2 linked regions of the Macaca fascicularis genome follow. The protein of the gene in region 2 binds, or shares a complex with, the protein of the main gene of each other region. Links are inferred from orthologs where the notes say so. Each region holds a gene or a part of one and is shown on either strand. Other genes may lie near its edges.

Evidence for each region. The genes of interacting proteins can lie anywhere in the genome.
Region 1: LSM8 (region 2) and LSM2 share a complex: the UniProt entries of both Homo sapiens proteins name them as parts of the precatalytic spliceosome. The link is inferred for Macaca fascicularis from reciprocal best matches to the Homo sapiens genes LSM8 and LSM2.

The regions. Positions count from the first base shown.
Region 1 is NC_088378.1:139,904,205-139,911,866, forward strand, and holds the start of LSM2 (U6 snRNA-associated Sm-like protein LSm2), read left to right. Parts: upstream 1-3,378; 5' UTR 3,379-3,541; coding exon 3,542-3,631; intron 3,632-3,972; coding exon 3,973-4,040; intron 4,041-7,662. UniProt on the Homo sapiens protein: Plays a role in pre-mRNA splicing as component of the U4/U6-U5 tri-snRNP complex that is involved in spliceosome assembly, and as component of the precatalytic spliceosome (spliceosome B complex).
Region 2 is NC_088377.1:159,619,496-159,627,086, reverse strand, and holds the start of LSM8 (LSM8 homolog, U6 small nuclear RNA associated), read right to left. Parts: upstream 4,973-7,591; 5' UTR 4,862-4,972; coding exon 4,831-4,861; intron 3,432-4,830; coding exon 3,391-3,431; intron 881-3,390; coding exon 753-880; intron 1-752. UniProt on the Homo sapiens protein: Plays a role in pre-mRNA splicing as component of the U4/U6-U5 tri-snRNP complex that is involved in spliceosome assembly, and as component of the precatalytic spliceosome (spliceosome B complex).

The sequences.
Region 1 (7,662 bases), on a different chromosome or scaffold from region 2:
ATTTGAATGTCTGTTATTTCCAGCCACCCTAACATTCTTTTTCCTGTGTGGATGCTTATTTGTCAATCAGTAAATTTGTTCCTAAAGGAAATTACTTCTGGTATTTAGGCTGTGAATGTACCTCGAAGGGGAGAGTTCATGGAGAGAGCATGTGTTCTCTGATTGTGAGCTCACTGTGAATGATTAAATTAGTAAGGGTAAAGTATTTGAATTTTCATGAACTCATTGGGTTTTTTTTTCTTTTCTTTTCTTTTTTTTTTTTTTGAGATGAAGTCTTGCCCTGTCGCCCAGGCTGGAGTACAGTGGCACAATCTCGGCTCACTGCAAGCTCTGCTTCCCGGGTTCACGCCATTCTCCTGCCTCAGCCTCCCAAGTAGCTGGGACTGCAGGCGTCCACCACCATGCCCGGCTAATTTTTTGTATTGTTTTAGTAGAGATGGGGTTTCACCATGTTAGCCAGGATGGTCTCAATCTCCTGACCTCAGAATCTGCCCACCTCAGCCTCCCAAAGTGCTGGGATTACAGGTGTGAGCCACCGCGCCCGGCCCATGAACTCATTGTTTCAATCAGCACATAATTTTTGATCCTCAGATACCTTTAGCACAGATGGAACAGATTGTAAACTATAACTGCTTTTAATCAGTTACAGGCTGGTTTTGGTGTTTAGGACTCAGCTTGGGGTGGAGGGACAAATCCTGCTTGATGTCCTGATGTATAGGTAAGGTCCAGGAGGTTCAGCATCTGTGCACTCACAGAGTTCATTGTTTACATTCATTATATGGAGAAAATATTTCTTTTCTTTCTTTCTTTTTTTTTTTTTTGGAGACAGAGTTTCACTCTTGTCGCCCAGGCTGGAGTGCAATGGCATGACCTTGGCTCACTGCAACCTTCGCTTCCCGGATTCAAGCAATTCTTCTGCCTCAGCCTCCTGAGTAGCTGGGATTACAGGCGCTCACCACTACACTCAGCTAATGTTTGTGTTTTTAGTAGAGATGGGGTTTCACCATGTTGACGAGGCTGTTCTGAACTCCTGACCTAGGTGATACACCCACCTCAGCCTCCTAAAGTGCTGGGATTATAGGCGTGAGCCACCATGCCTAGCCCCAGAAAATATTTCTATAACAAACTCTTGACAAATAAGTACTTCTATGCAAGATGACAAATATAAGTTTATGAAGTCTTAGTCCATGAAAAAATATTTTTACCGGCCGGGTGCAGTGGCTCACACCTGTTATCCCAGCACTTTGGGAGGCCGAGGTGGGTGGATCATGAGGTCAAGAGATCGAGACCATCCTGCCCAACATGGTGAAACCTCGTCACTACTAAAAATACAAAAATTAGCTGAGCATGGTGGTGCACGCCTGTAGTCCCAGCTACTCGGGAGGGTGAGGCAGAGGAATTGCTTGAACCTGGGTTGTGGAGGTTGCAGTGAGCTGAGATCGTGGCACCGCACTCCAGCCTGATGACAGAGCAAGACTGCATCTCAAAAAAATTTGTTTTCTTTTACCTGTGTCCTAATATACATTTATAAAAACCTGGGGGACATGAGTTAGAATGATATGTAACTGTGCATTTCTGTCTGTGTTTGAAACATTTGGCAGTGAAATGTTAGACTGGGTTATTTGCATCTGTAAGCCACAGTCTCTTTTTACTCAGTCCTTTACAGGACAGTCTTGGCAAAAGTGTGTAAGAAATATGGAGATTGAGGTTGGCTCCTTTGGAGAAATATATTTATTGGTAACCTTTGATAAAACCAAAATTTGTGCTCCAGCTCCTTATCTCTGGGACTCCTCAACATTTTTTTGTTTTTTATAATTTTCTTTTTTATAGACAGAGTCTTGCCCAGGCTGGAATGCAGTGGGGAGATCGTAGCTCACTGTAACTCTTGGGTTCAAATGATCCTCCTGCCTCAGCCTCCCAAAATGCTGGGATTTACAAGCCTCAACATTTTGTTGTTGTTGTTGTTTTGAGACAAGAGTTTCACTGTTGTTGCCCAGGCTGGAGTACAATGGCACGATCTCCACTCACTGCAACTTATACCTCCCGGGTTTACAGGCGCGTGCCACCACACCTGGCTAATTTTTGGGTTTTTAGTAGAGACAGGATTTCGCCATGTTGGCCAGGCTGGTCTAGAACTCCTGACCTCAGGTGATCCATTTGCCTTGGCCTCCCAAAGTGCGGGATTATAGGCGTCAGCCACTGCGCCCGGTCAATTTTTTTTTTTTTTTTTTTTTTTAAAGACGGAGTCTCTCTCTGTCACCCAGGCTGGAGTGCGGTGGCGGGATCTCAGCTCACTGCAAGCTCCGCCTCCCGGGTTCACGCCATTCTCCTGCCTCAGCCTCCCGAGTAGCTGGGACTACAGGCACCCGCCACCTCGCCCGGCTATTTTTTTGTATTTTTTAGTAGAGACGGGGTTTCACCGTGTTAGCCAGGATGGTCTCGATCTCCTGACCTCGTGATCCGCCCGTCTCGGCCTCCCAAAGTGCTGGGATTACAGGCGTGAGCCACCGCGCCCGGCCAATTTTTTTTTTTTTTTTGAGACGAGTCTCGCTCTGTCGCCCAGGCTGCAGTGCAGTGGCATCATCTTGGCTCCCTGCAACCTCCACCTCCCGGGTTCACGCAATTCTCCTTCCTCAGCCTCCCGAGTAGCTGGGATTACAGGCGCCCGCGACCACGCCTGGCTAATTTTTTTTGTATTTTTAGTGAAGACGGGACTTCACCATGTTGGCTAGCCTGGTCTCGAACTCCTGACCTCACACAATCCATCCACCTTGGCCTCTCAGAGTGCTGGGATTGAAGGCGTGAGCCACCGCCCTCGGCCTTTTTTTTTTTTATCAGCTGAATTTAAGATTAAAAACATTTTTTAATTTTATTTTTTGAATTTTATGTTTTTACTTTAACAAATATAGAAAAGTGCACACTTCATAATCTTCACAAACTCCCCACAATTCTCGATAGGATGTGTGTAGAGGGCACGAACACATCACGCTGTGGACGGCAGGGTTATGGAAAACAAAACCTTTTGAGCTCAGACGCCGAGTGCCTCCACCCGCCTAGCAGCCCAGGCTAGGGTCCGCGCCTGCGCAATGGGAGCCGGCCGGCCCTGGAAGAAGTCGGAACGAAGGAAACCCCGCCCCTTTCCCGGCTTCCTCCTCCCCTCGGTTTTACCCAGCTTGCGCTCCCCAGCCGCAAGTCGGCCGCGCTTTACCCTTCAGCGCTTGGAGGGTTCTGCGTCCCTTCCCGCTGCGCCTGCGCGGTCCCGCCTCGCCCCACGCGCGGGCTCGCGCTTCGGTTCTCCCAGACCTGGTCTCAGCATCCGGCTCTTTTCTCGCTCCGGCCCGCTGCCCGCTGCGCCAGCACCATGGTGGGTACCGTGACGTCAAAAGGGGTCGCCCTCGGGGATCTCGGACGGTTGGGGCAGGGGGGTCTGGCCTTTGTCCCCCTAGGCTGGAGTTAGGTCCGGAGTTTTTATCTTCATCGTTAGTCCTGTTCCTCAAGTTCGTTGAGGAGACACCTGAGAGCAAATGGGATTTTTTTTTCCATGATGAGGAAAAAAACCCCAACCCTGAGAGAGATTCAGTGGGGACAGCGGGAGACGGAAAAGTTAGACCTTAGAGCACTTCTCTGCCAGGCAAGCTTCGGCAGGGTGCGGGTGGGATGTTTTCTGTAATTCATTGAAAGGAGTGGGCAGGTACCCGAGAAAGGTGGTCGATTGAGAGAGCACACTGGGGAGGCCGAGGTATGCAGGGCAGAGCCTCTCTGGGACTTTAAGTGATGGGCTCAATGCAGTGTGCAGAATAATTTGGGCTCCAGCCTTTCACCTCTCAACCAATTATTCTTTCCTGTGAAATTTTGAGAACTGTTAGGGATGCAATGGGGTTCACAATACCGGTATTTGGTAATACTGTCAAGGGACACTCCTCCCTACCATGTTCCTTCCCACATGATGGTTTTCCCCCTCTCTCCCAATAGCTCTTCTATTCTTTTTTCAAGTCCCTTGTGGGCAAGGATGTGGTCGTGGAACTCAAGAATGACCTGAGGTAGGTACCTGTTCCAACAAGTCTGTTGGGGGTGGGTGTGCCCAGGGCCCTGGAACCTCTTTAATTTGAGAAATATTTGAGGGCTGGGTGAGGTGGAATATGTACAGAAGAAATAAATGGCCGGGTGCGGTGGCTCACGCCTGTAATCTCAGCACTTTGGGAGGCTGAGGTGGGCGGATCACGAGGTCAGGAGATCAAGACCATCCTGGCTAACACGGTGAAACCCTGTCTCTACTAAAAATACAAAAAATTAGCCAGGCATGGTGGCAGGCGCCTGTAGTCCCAGCTACTTTGGAGGCTGAGGCAGGAGAATGGCGTGAACCTGGGAGGCAGAGCTTGCAGTGAGCCCAGATCACGCCACTGCACTCCAGCCTGGGTGACAGAGCGAGGCTCTGTCTCAAACAAACAAAAGAAATAAATGGGTGGGGTGCAGTGGCTCACGCCTGTAATCCCAGCACTTTGGGAGACTGAGGAGGGAGGATTGCTTGAGCCCAGGAGTTTGAGGCTGCAGTGAGCAGTGATTACTCCATTGCACTCTAGCCAGGGCAATAGAGCAAGACCCCATCTCTAAGACAAATTTTAAAATTTAACAATAAATAAATGCCTTGTGCCTTAAATTTACAGATAAGCTTGGGGATTGTATTGTGTATTGGAAAACAATACAAAGCAATATACAGTTTAAAGAGTAAATACTGGTCAGGTGTGGTGGCTCATGGGCTGGACGTGTGGCTCATGCCTGTAATCCCAGCACTTTGGGAGGCCGAGGTGGGTGAATCACGAGGTCAGGAGTTCAAGACCAGTCTGGCCAAGATGGTGAAACCCCGTCTCTACTAAAAATACAAAAATTAGCCAGGCATGGTGGCAGGTGCCTGTAATCCCAGCTACTTGGGAGGCTGAGGCAGGAAAATCGCTTGAACCTGGGTGGCAGAGGTTGCAGTGAGCTGAGATTACGCCACTGCACTCCAGCCTGGGTGACAGAGTGAGACTCTGTCTCAAAAAAAATAAATAAAGAGTAAGTACTAGGCTGGCCATGGTGGCTCACACCTGTAATCTCAGCACTTTGGGAGGCTGAGGCAGGAGGATCACTTGAGTCCAGGATGTCGAGACTAGCCTGGGCAACATAGAACCATTTCTATAAAAGATTAGCCAGATGTGGTTTACATGCCTGTAGTCCCAGCTATTCGGGAGACTGAGGTGGGAGGATCACTTGAACCCAGGAGGTCGAGGCTGCAGTGAGCCATGATTGTACCACTTTACTCCAGCCTGGGTGACAGAGGAAGACTGTCTCAAAAAAGAACAGGCCAGGCCAGGCGCAGTGGCTCACGCCTGTAATCCCAGCACTTTCGGAGGCCGAGATGGGCGGATCACGAGGTCAGGAGATTGAGACCATCCTGCCTAACATGGTGAAACCCCGTCTCTACTAAAAATACAAAAAATTAGCCTGGTGTGGTGGCGGGCGCCTGTAGTTCCAGCTACTTGGGAGGCTGAGGCAGGAGAATGGCATGAACCCAGGAGGTGGAGCTTGCAGTGAGCCAAGATGGCACCACTGCACTCCAGCCTGGGCGACCAGAGCGAGACTCCATCTCAAAAAAATAAACAAAAAAACAGAACAGGCCATAGGCTGGGCATGGTGGCTCATGCCTGTAATCCCAGCACTTTGGGAGGCTGAGGTGGGTGGATCACAAGGTCAAGAGATTGAGACCAGCCTGGCCAACATGGTGAAACCTACGTATTAGATATGCTACTGTGTATCTAATACCTAGTATAGGCCAGTTGTATGATAGGTGCTTAAGGAAAGAAAAATAATATCTGAAGACCTATTGACTAAGCACTATTCTGAATACATTTATTGATTGATTTCTCAAACACTCCTTAGTAATATGTACTATTGCTGTTATACATATGAGGAAACTGAGGCTTAGATCAGCTATACCACTTGTTCAAGTCTACAAAACTAGTAAGTGATACAGAACAGAAATATGATTATGTCCAGCTTTTTTCTTTTTCTTTTTTCTTTTTTTTTTTTTGAGATAGTCTCGCTCTGTCGCCCAGGCTGGAATGCAGTGGTGTGATCTCTGCTCACTGTAAGCTCTGCCTCCCGGGTTCATGCCATTCTCCTGCCTCAGCCTCCCCAGCAGCTGGAACTATAGGCGCCTGCCACCACACCTGGCTAATTTTTGTATTTTTAGTAGAGACGGGGTTTCACCGTGTTAGCCAGGATGGTCTCGATCTCCTGACCTTGTGATCCGCCTGCCTCGGCCTCCCAAAGTGCTGGGATTACAGGCGTGAGCCACTGCGCCTGGCTTTTTTTTTTTTTTTTTTGAGATGGAGTCTCTGTCACCTACGCTGGAGTGCAGTGGCGCGATCTCGGCTCACTGCAGCCTCCGCTTCCTGGGCTGAAGCAATTCTCTGCCTCAGCCTCCCGAGTAGCTGTGATTACAGGCGTCCACCACTATGCCTAGCTAATTCTTGTATTTTTAGTGGAGAAGGGGTTTCACCATCTAGGCTAGGCTGGTCTTGAACTCTTGACCTTGTGATCCACCCGCCTTGGCCTCCCAAAGTGATGGGATTACAGGTGTGAGCCACTGCACCTAGTCCTATTTTCTTTCTTAAAATAATATTTATTTATTTAAAAATTAGAGACAGTGTCTCGCTTTGTTACTCAGGCTGGTTTCAAACTCTTGAGTTCAAGCAATCCTCTTGCTTCAGCTTTCCGAAGTGCTGGGGTTACAGGCATGAGCCAGCATGCCTGGCCCTGTACTTATCTGTACAGTCCTTTAAATGATATGTACATTTAGGCCAGATGCAGTGGCCCACACCTGTAATCCCAGCACTTTGGGAAGTCAAGGCGGGCAGATGCCTGAGGTCAGGAGTTTGAGACCAGCTTGTCCAATATGGTGAAACCCCCATCTCTACTAAAAATACAAAAATCAGCCAGGCGTGGTGTTGTGTGCCTGTAATCCCAGCTGTTCGGGAGGCTGATGCAGGAGAATTGCTTGAACCCAGAAGGCGGACGTTGTAGTGAGCTGAGATCAGGCCACTGCACTCCAGCCTGGGCGACAGACTGAGACTCCATCTCAAAAAAAAAAAAAAAAAGTACATTTAAAATATTGATACCTATTATCTCGTTATCCTTTAGAAAGATGGGGTCAATTGTATTCTCTTCCCAAAAGTGTCTTCCACATTTATTTTTTTGAGATGGGGGTCTCACTGTGTTGTCCAGGCTGGAGTGTAATGGCACAGTCATAGCTCATTCAGCCTCCTGAATAGGTGGGGCTACATGCCACCACGCCCAGCTAATTTTTTAATTATTTGGAGAGGCAGAGTCTCACTGTGTTGCCCAGGCTGGTCTCAAACTCTTGGGCTCAAGCAGTCCTGCCACCTTGGCCTCCCAAAGTGCTGGAATTACAGGCATGTGCCATGTGCCTGGTTGTCTTCCACATTTCTATGTGATTTAATTTCTTCGTGGGTTACACGTTGACATGGCAGGGAATGGTGAGGAGAGGAACTTAAGGGCCGTTGCATTTTAGAACAGAGGTTTCCGTTTGTGGCACTGGCCATGCAGGTGGTATCGATGTGTATAGATTGGGGACACAGAGCAAGACAAGTATGGAAATCACTA
Region 2 (7,591 bases):
TCAGCCTCCCGAGAAGCTGGAACTACACGCACACGCCACCAAGCCTGGCTAATTTTTGTATTTTTAGTAGAGACAGGGTTTTGCCATGTTGGCGAGGCTGGTCTTGAACTCCTGACCTGATCCACTTGCCTCAGACTCCCAAAGTGCTAAGATTACAGGCACCACGCCTGGCCAATTACTCTTAAACTGTTATATCTGTCTGTCCCAAGTAAACTGAGGCCACAGGGACATCGTAAGTGTGTCAATGATACTAAAAAATTAAAAGAAAATGAATAACAAGTAAGTACTTATTTACAAATACATCTATGTTATTGAGCATGAATTAGTATTGTTCAAATGAGAGATTTCAAAACCATTTTTCAAACTTTGGCCTTGGACTCTAGAAATATGTTCCTCTAAAATTCTGGGTATTTCTAAGAACACATGAAGAAGCCTCTCTAATGAAGTATTTAATATAAGGCAGGGCCCTTTCTGGACTCTACCCAGGCTACTTAACTAGTAGAAAAATGGAAAATCTCAGGTAAGTTTAATTTGTAGAGAGAAAGCTTTGGTTGAAACATAAAGTGTTGACATAAAATGTATAGCTATGCCTTACTTTATGCAAATATAAGAAACGCTGTATTTACAAAAGAAATGAATGCAAGATTCTATTAATTACATATGGACAATACAATAGGGTATTTTGGGTAAAACCTCTTCTCCATAAAGTAAGGCAGTATCATTTATAATTTTAACAGATATATTTTACTTACACGTTGTCACCTCTTACAATGTACAATCCTAGTACCACTTGCTCTACCCCCTGTGAAGAGCTGAATACTCGCTCATGGCTTTCATCCAAAATCAAATTAATGGTCTGGTCAAAACCTTTCAGTGTTCCCTGTAAAGAAAATATTCAGGAGAAAAAGAGAAATATTCTGGTTTACCTGAAAGTGTAAATTCAGCCTCACAATCATTTCAGTTGCCAAGTATTCCAATACAAGTAACAATACAATGTCAAATAAAATACCTTTTTTATAACCAACAGTATTCGAGGGTACACAATTTACCTCTTGGTTGTTTGGCTGGGGTGGGGGTCCTGCACCACACATCTCACTCATATGCAGAGTTGACGGCAGTTAGAAACGACAACTATGTACTAATTTGAGTATCTCCAAAAAGTAACTAGCATAAAAGCTTACGAAGACCAGCAGCTAAAGGTATAAACTAAAACAAAGGAGATTTAAGGGAAACTGATGGGCAAATATACATAAATAAGGAAGAACCATACATACCAACTACAGCAATGTAATGTATCACTATATGCTACATACCAGCACTAAGCAGTGTGCTAAACACATCGTACACATTGTCTCAACTCATCTCTACCCTTTAATACTATAATTAGCCCCATTTCAAAGAAGAAACTGAGGCACAGAGTGGTGTGTCTTATGGGCACATGGGTAGTAAGTGGCAGAGCCAGGAGATGAACCACAAAAGGCTAGCTCCTGAGTCAGACCACTAAACCGTAACATTCTATACTATCATACACAAGTAAATATAATTTGCCATTTTTCAGAGATTCAAATCAGTCCCATAAATATTTTAAAAATTTAGTAGTTACATATAACACCTAACGAGTACTTTAGTTACCGGTGCTCCGTCTGTCTCACATGTATTGTTTAATGTGTATCAAATGGATGTATTATTGAACTCTCCCAGTAAGGTAGATACAAATGTGACTATACTAATTAGAACCAGAACTTGAAGGAAATAATCAGGGAGAGTTTTATGAAAGTTTAGAATTGAATAAAAGAAGGCATGGGTCTAGCATAACAGAGTAACTCAGATGGTATTCAAGTTTCTGAAGAATTATCAACTAACATTGGTTTTGATGGTTAAATCTCTCAAGCTCTTAAACTGTTTTATCCTCTGAAAGTCAAAATATATAAAATGAGAATTAAATAAAAAGAAATCTATAACTTGGAAGAGAAACAAAATATGGAGTATTTATTGAACTAGTTAGCAAATGGTTATTATTATAAACACCCATTCATAACTTATTGGCTTCATTTTGCCCATTAACTATCCCATCAAATAAATTATGTGTCAAAGAAATACAGAACTATTGAACTTTAGAACTTAAGATGCTCTTTTTATATCGCTTTCCTTCTTCTTTAAAATTAAAAATAATTTCCCAGTTTATTATCCTGTTAACAAAAATAAGAAAATTTAAACGTAAGGTTTTCACTAAATAAAAAATAATGCAAACATCTATTAATAGCAATAGGCTTCTTGAAGTGTTGAGGTTAAAATATGTCAAACTGTCCACATTTGAAAAAATACAATGTGAGGTGCCTAAGAAAACATGATTGCTTCCTTAAGAAAGAAGCCAGGCAACTGGCCTTGGCTTTGATGTCAAACCAAATTTAAATCCCAGTTTGGTTCTGTCACCTGCTACCCTTGTGACTCTGAGAAAGTGAGTCACCTTCTCTGAACTTGTTTCCTAATCTAGAATACAGGGGTACTTATTCTTCACAAGGTTGTATGTACATTAATTAATGTAACACATATGCACCTGGCACACGATATAAATTTAGTAAATGGCAAAGCTAGAACTTTGACTAACAATAGTCACTAAGAACAAACGAAAGCAAAACTGCAGAATGGAAAAATAAGGGATCAAATTATTTAAAGAAACTAGGTAGGGTTAGAAAAGTTTAGTAGCCTTAAAATTCTTTTGAAAGCATTTGGAGTAGGAATTATAAGTGAAGAAATAATCAAGTGCCCAAAAATCTTGAGATGAATTCCTCAGATCAAATTCCAAATACAAGTATCACCATAGGAACGTTTTATCTTTGTTATATGACATAAATTAGCAAGGGAGAAACAACTTCAAGGAACAAGCCAATTTTACGTAAATATGTGTATATAGAGAGAGTCAATCATCATAATGTGTCCTACAGAAGACATGTCACACAACCTAAAAACAAAGAATGTTAAGATTGTATACAAGCCTTAAATGTTGATATGTAGATATTAATAGTATCTAAATCATTAAAAAGTTACTAAGCATATGCAAAATTTCAAAAAATTCTGATTCATGTGGTGCCGAATGAGGAAGGAAATAAAAATGGAAGAAGAAAAGTAAGTTTAATGAAGGTCTGCAGACTAGGAGCTCTCTGAGGGCAGAATCTATAACTCTAGCTCCTAGAAGCCTTGTAGGTAACACGCCACGTTTATGAGTGAGGAAAACGTGGATTGACAGCAAAGTGATAAAGAGCTGAATTATAATAAAACTGCACTACAGGTGTAATGTGCTGTCTAGGCATTAGAGATCAGAGGTTTCACATAAAACTTGCAACCAATAAACCTACAGGAAAGCAGAGAATGAAAATTCCGAAGACTTACCACAATCATCCTCCCATCAGATGTAATAACGGCAACAGTTCCTGATAACTGAATAAAGGAAAGTGTTTCTTAGGGAATGCAAATTGAAAACAGACTCTGGCAAGGTAATGATTTAAATTATTAGAACAAATATGACAATTAGGTAAAAGTGTTCAACACAGCCACTAAGTTCACTACATAAAAACGTTGAAAGATTTTGGGACGCCAAGGCAGGAGGATCACTTGAGGTGAGACTAGCTTGGGAAACACAGTGAGACCCCCCCCATCTCTACTACCCTGGCCTGGTGACCTATAGTCCCAGCTACTCAGGAGACAGAGGCAGAGGCAGGAGGATAGCTTGAGCTCAGGAGTTCAAGGTTGCATTGAGCCATGATCAAGCCACTGCACTCCAGCCTGGGCAACACAGTGAGACCCTCGACTCAAAAAAAGAAAGAAAAAAAATTTTTTAAAAGCTTGTTTTAGTTTTGTGATAATTACATGACTAAAAAAAGGAAAAAATAGAAAAGAAAACCTCTTTCTGTATGTGATCGGTGTATCCTATCTCAAAATATCCTGGATTTTTGACACTTTTCTACTAGGAATGCTGCCAATCTATTATTTCGGACAGGATATTTCGTTTCTTGGGCCTGTTTATATCTAAAATGAAAACTGGATGAGTACTAAATTCATCGATGTTGGACGATTTTCAAGCATGTTAAAAAACTGTCTTCCGGGGCAGGCTTCTGTAATTCAAAAGTAAATAAACTATATAATCAGTGTCACAAGGTACTAACAATGCCTGTAACATTAAAAGCATTCGGTATTTAATTTTTGTCACCCAGTTTGTACCTGAACTTAACATAGTGTTTTTGTTCTGAGACTTTAAAACGGTAACACTTGTAAAGTCTATTTTAAGACTTCCCGTGGGGTTGTTACTTGCTCCTCACTATAATCCATTACAACAGCAAGCATTTTTTTCATTCCACCACCAGGTAGGGTCTTCAAGTGGTAAAGGGACAGAAACAGTCTGTGAACCATCGTTAAACTTTCTGCTATCCTCGAACTAATGAGCATATTATGTGAATAAAACAAGTACACAGATTTGCAAAACTGTTGTCGCAGCCAGGACGACTGTTAATCTTATTTACAAACTTGAACACTTATGCCCTAGGGAAATAGTAAGGAAGAATCAAGAGCGTAATTTTTTTTAAGACAGAAAAGTTCGGAAAAATCACACTGGGTTTTTATTTGGCTTTTGTAGACAAAATGGAAAGGACCCCTGGGCCCGCAGCAGCTGGCAGGCTCTAGGCGCCGCCGCCGAACTCTGGGTCATTCCGGGGTCCTCATCTCGCCCGCCCCCAGGATCCCGCCGCGGCCGGGCCTCCCAACTTCCCACCGATCCCCGAGCGGCGGTCTCTCCGCGGCCCCGGCTCACGCCCGCGGCGGCCAGCTTGAGGATACGGTTGATGTAGTTCTCCAAGGCGGACGTCATGCTGCTCGGACCGGCAGTTCCGGATAACGCAGTGGTGCCGGCCACAAGCAGAACTGAAAGGGCGCGCCAGAACTCGGCAGCGGTTCGCGTCTGCGGGCCGCCGCAAATATCGTGAGAGTTGCTGCTCCGCAGCCCTTTGACTCGGAAATTGGGACGAACTAGCCAACCAAACAGAAGCAGCGCCGCTCTGACGAGAGAGTGCGCGTGCGCAGTGTGTTTTCGCTGTAATTCTGGGCCGTGTTCCGGAAGCCGTGTAAGACAAAGGGAACGAGAGGCGGAAAAAAGGAGGACGCTTCCCGAAGGTGGGGTACGAGAGAGAAGTTGGGGGAGAGTGGGTTTCCAATCCGAGTAAAACCCAGTGTGGTGGAAGATAATAAGTGAAAATGTTGAGGTAGAGCAGGCAGGAAGAAACAGGATAAGGCGTTTTTTATTAGGAGTGAAGGAGGAGAGTAGACGAGCGCTGTTGTGTGAAATGCGGGTGCGGGTAGTTGAATCCCTAGTTTTCTGCAGCAGGAGCCGAAAATAACACTAAAAATAAGTCCAGTTGGCCGGGACAAAGTTGCGCACGTTATAACCACACGGTGTAAGCGTCTTAAGAACTCAACAATGAAATGCACGTTCGTATGTTCTGCTTTTGTCTCTAAAAGTGGTCCAAAATGGAGGTGTTTTTACTTTTTAAAGAAACTAAATGCAAATAGAAAAAGGTGTGTGACCATCCCTTAGAAAACGAATGTTCACGCTTCTACCACGCCGGGATGGTCTGCCGGAATTCTCCAGGGTGAAATTAATAAATAAAAGGCTCCTTCAGCACCAAGAAAGGACTGATGCAGGAAGGCACCAAACTTGGTTCTAATCTTGGCTCTGCTAACGTATTGGTGTCATTGCACAGGTCACTTCAATTCTTCTGGGCCTCAGTTTCCTTATAGTGCCATAGGTATCATTTCAGATATTTCCCAATGTGATACTGTTCCCACTTTATTTACTGTGTTGCCCTAACTTGAGAGAGCTTGAAGTTAGAAAGAGATTTATACACAAAACATCAGCAGGAGCGATTTCCCTTTTTTACAAAATATCTTTATGATTTAGGTTAAACATGTATTTTCTTAAGAATTGTGGCTTTGGAATAACTCTTGCAATGTCAGCAGTTTTCCTGGGAAAAGGAAGCATTTCTTAATTAGAGCATACCCACAAGATACCTACAAGATGACTCCCAAATAGTTAAAATTTTATATTCTGGAAGTTATTCCGATCTGTTTGAAATCAAATGTAGTCAGGAATTAGATTGTGAATGTCTCATATTCTCAGGGTAACAAATGAAAGTGTCTTCCACAAATGAAAGAACAAAGATAATTGTGTGATTTGCAAATGTTAGGAGTTGAATCAAAACCCAAAGACTAATTAATGATTAACGAGGTGTTAAGAGTTTTGTTTAAAACAAAAAAATTGCTGGGAGTGTTGGTGTATGCCTGTAATCCCAGCTACTCTGGAAGCTGAGGCAGGAGAATCGCTTGAACCCGGGAGGCGGTGGTTACAGTGAGCTGAGATCACGCCATTGCACTCCAGCCTGGGCGACAAGAGCGAAACTCCATCTCAAAAACATAAAAACTAACCTCTGTGTGATCTTATAAAAATAAAGCTGGGTACAGTGACTCACACCTGTAATCCCAGCACTTTGGGAGGCCGAGGCGGGCGGATCACTTGGTCAAGAGATCAACACCATCTTGGCCAACATGGTGAAACCCCGTCTCTACTAAAATACAAAAATAAGCCGGCGTGGTGGCGGGTGCCTGTAGTCGCAGCTACTAGGGAGGCTGAGGCAGGAGAACCACTAGAACCTGGGAGGCGAAGGTTGCGGTGAGCGGAGATCGTGCCACTGCCCTCCAGCCTGGGCGACAGAGCGATGCTCCATCTCAATAAAATAAAAAATAAAAGTAAAAAAATAAATACTCCCAACAGCTTTTCATCACTTAGAGTGTGCTTTTGTTTTGAAAATGTTTAACATTATATGGTAGCTTACGAAACTACTTTCATCATAAATACATTGTAAGTCTATGGCCTTGTGTAGTTATTAAAGTAATATGCCAGATAAATAACAGATGTACAGTATTTATGGAGCATCACAAAATCTCTTTGGCTGGAAACTTTTTTGCATGTGTCTTAAAACTGCTATGTTTTCTGTAGTCTGTAAGGATCACAGATGTAACGAGAAAGCCTCTGGATAGATAAAAGTCCAGTTATTAAGACAAAAAATGAATTACATCTGGATGCAAACATTACATGTATGATTTATCTGTATTAGCCATGTACCCTTGAGAGTATGTGAATGTAGAGAGCTTAGCATCTCATAAAGGAGAATTACGTTAAAGCTCCAACAAGGGAAAACTGATACATATAAACATCTGACTACTAAAAAATTAAGAGTTAAGGGTGAAACTTGCCCCTTAAGTCCAAATCTCTCAAAGTAATGCGTATTTAAATGACATATCACTGATAAAGTATCAACCAAAGTATGCTTGTAATAGATAATTTTATTCCATTACTTCTGAATCTAACTCTTGAGCAGAAAACATTAACCTAAAGGATCAGACTTCTGGTAGAATCTGAGGAAACTGAATTTGCCCTTCTCTGAATAGTTTATGGAAAACTATACAATTTTTTAAATAAAATTTTTAAAATAAAATAATATTTTTAACCTTATGTGATGGGAACTTTTATTTCCTTTTCTGTGTT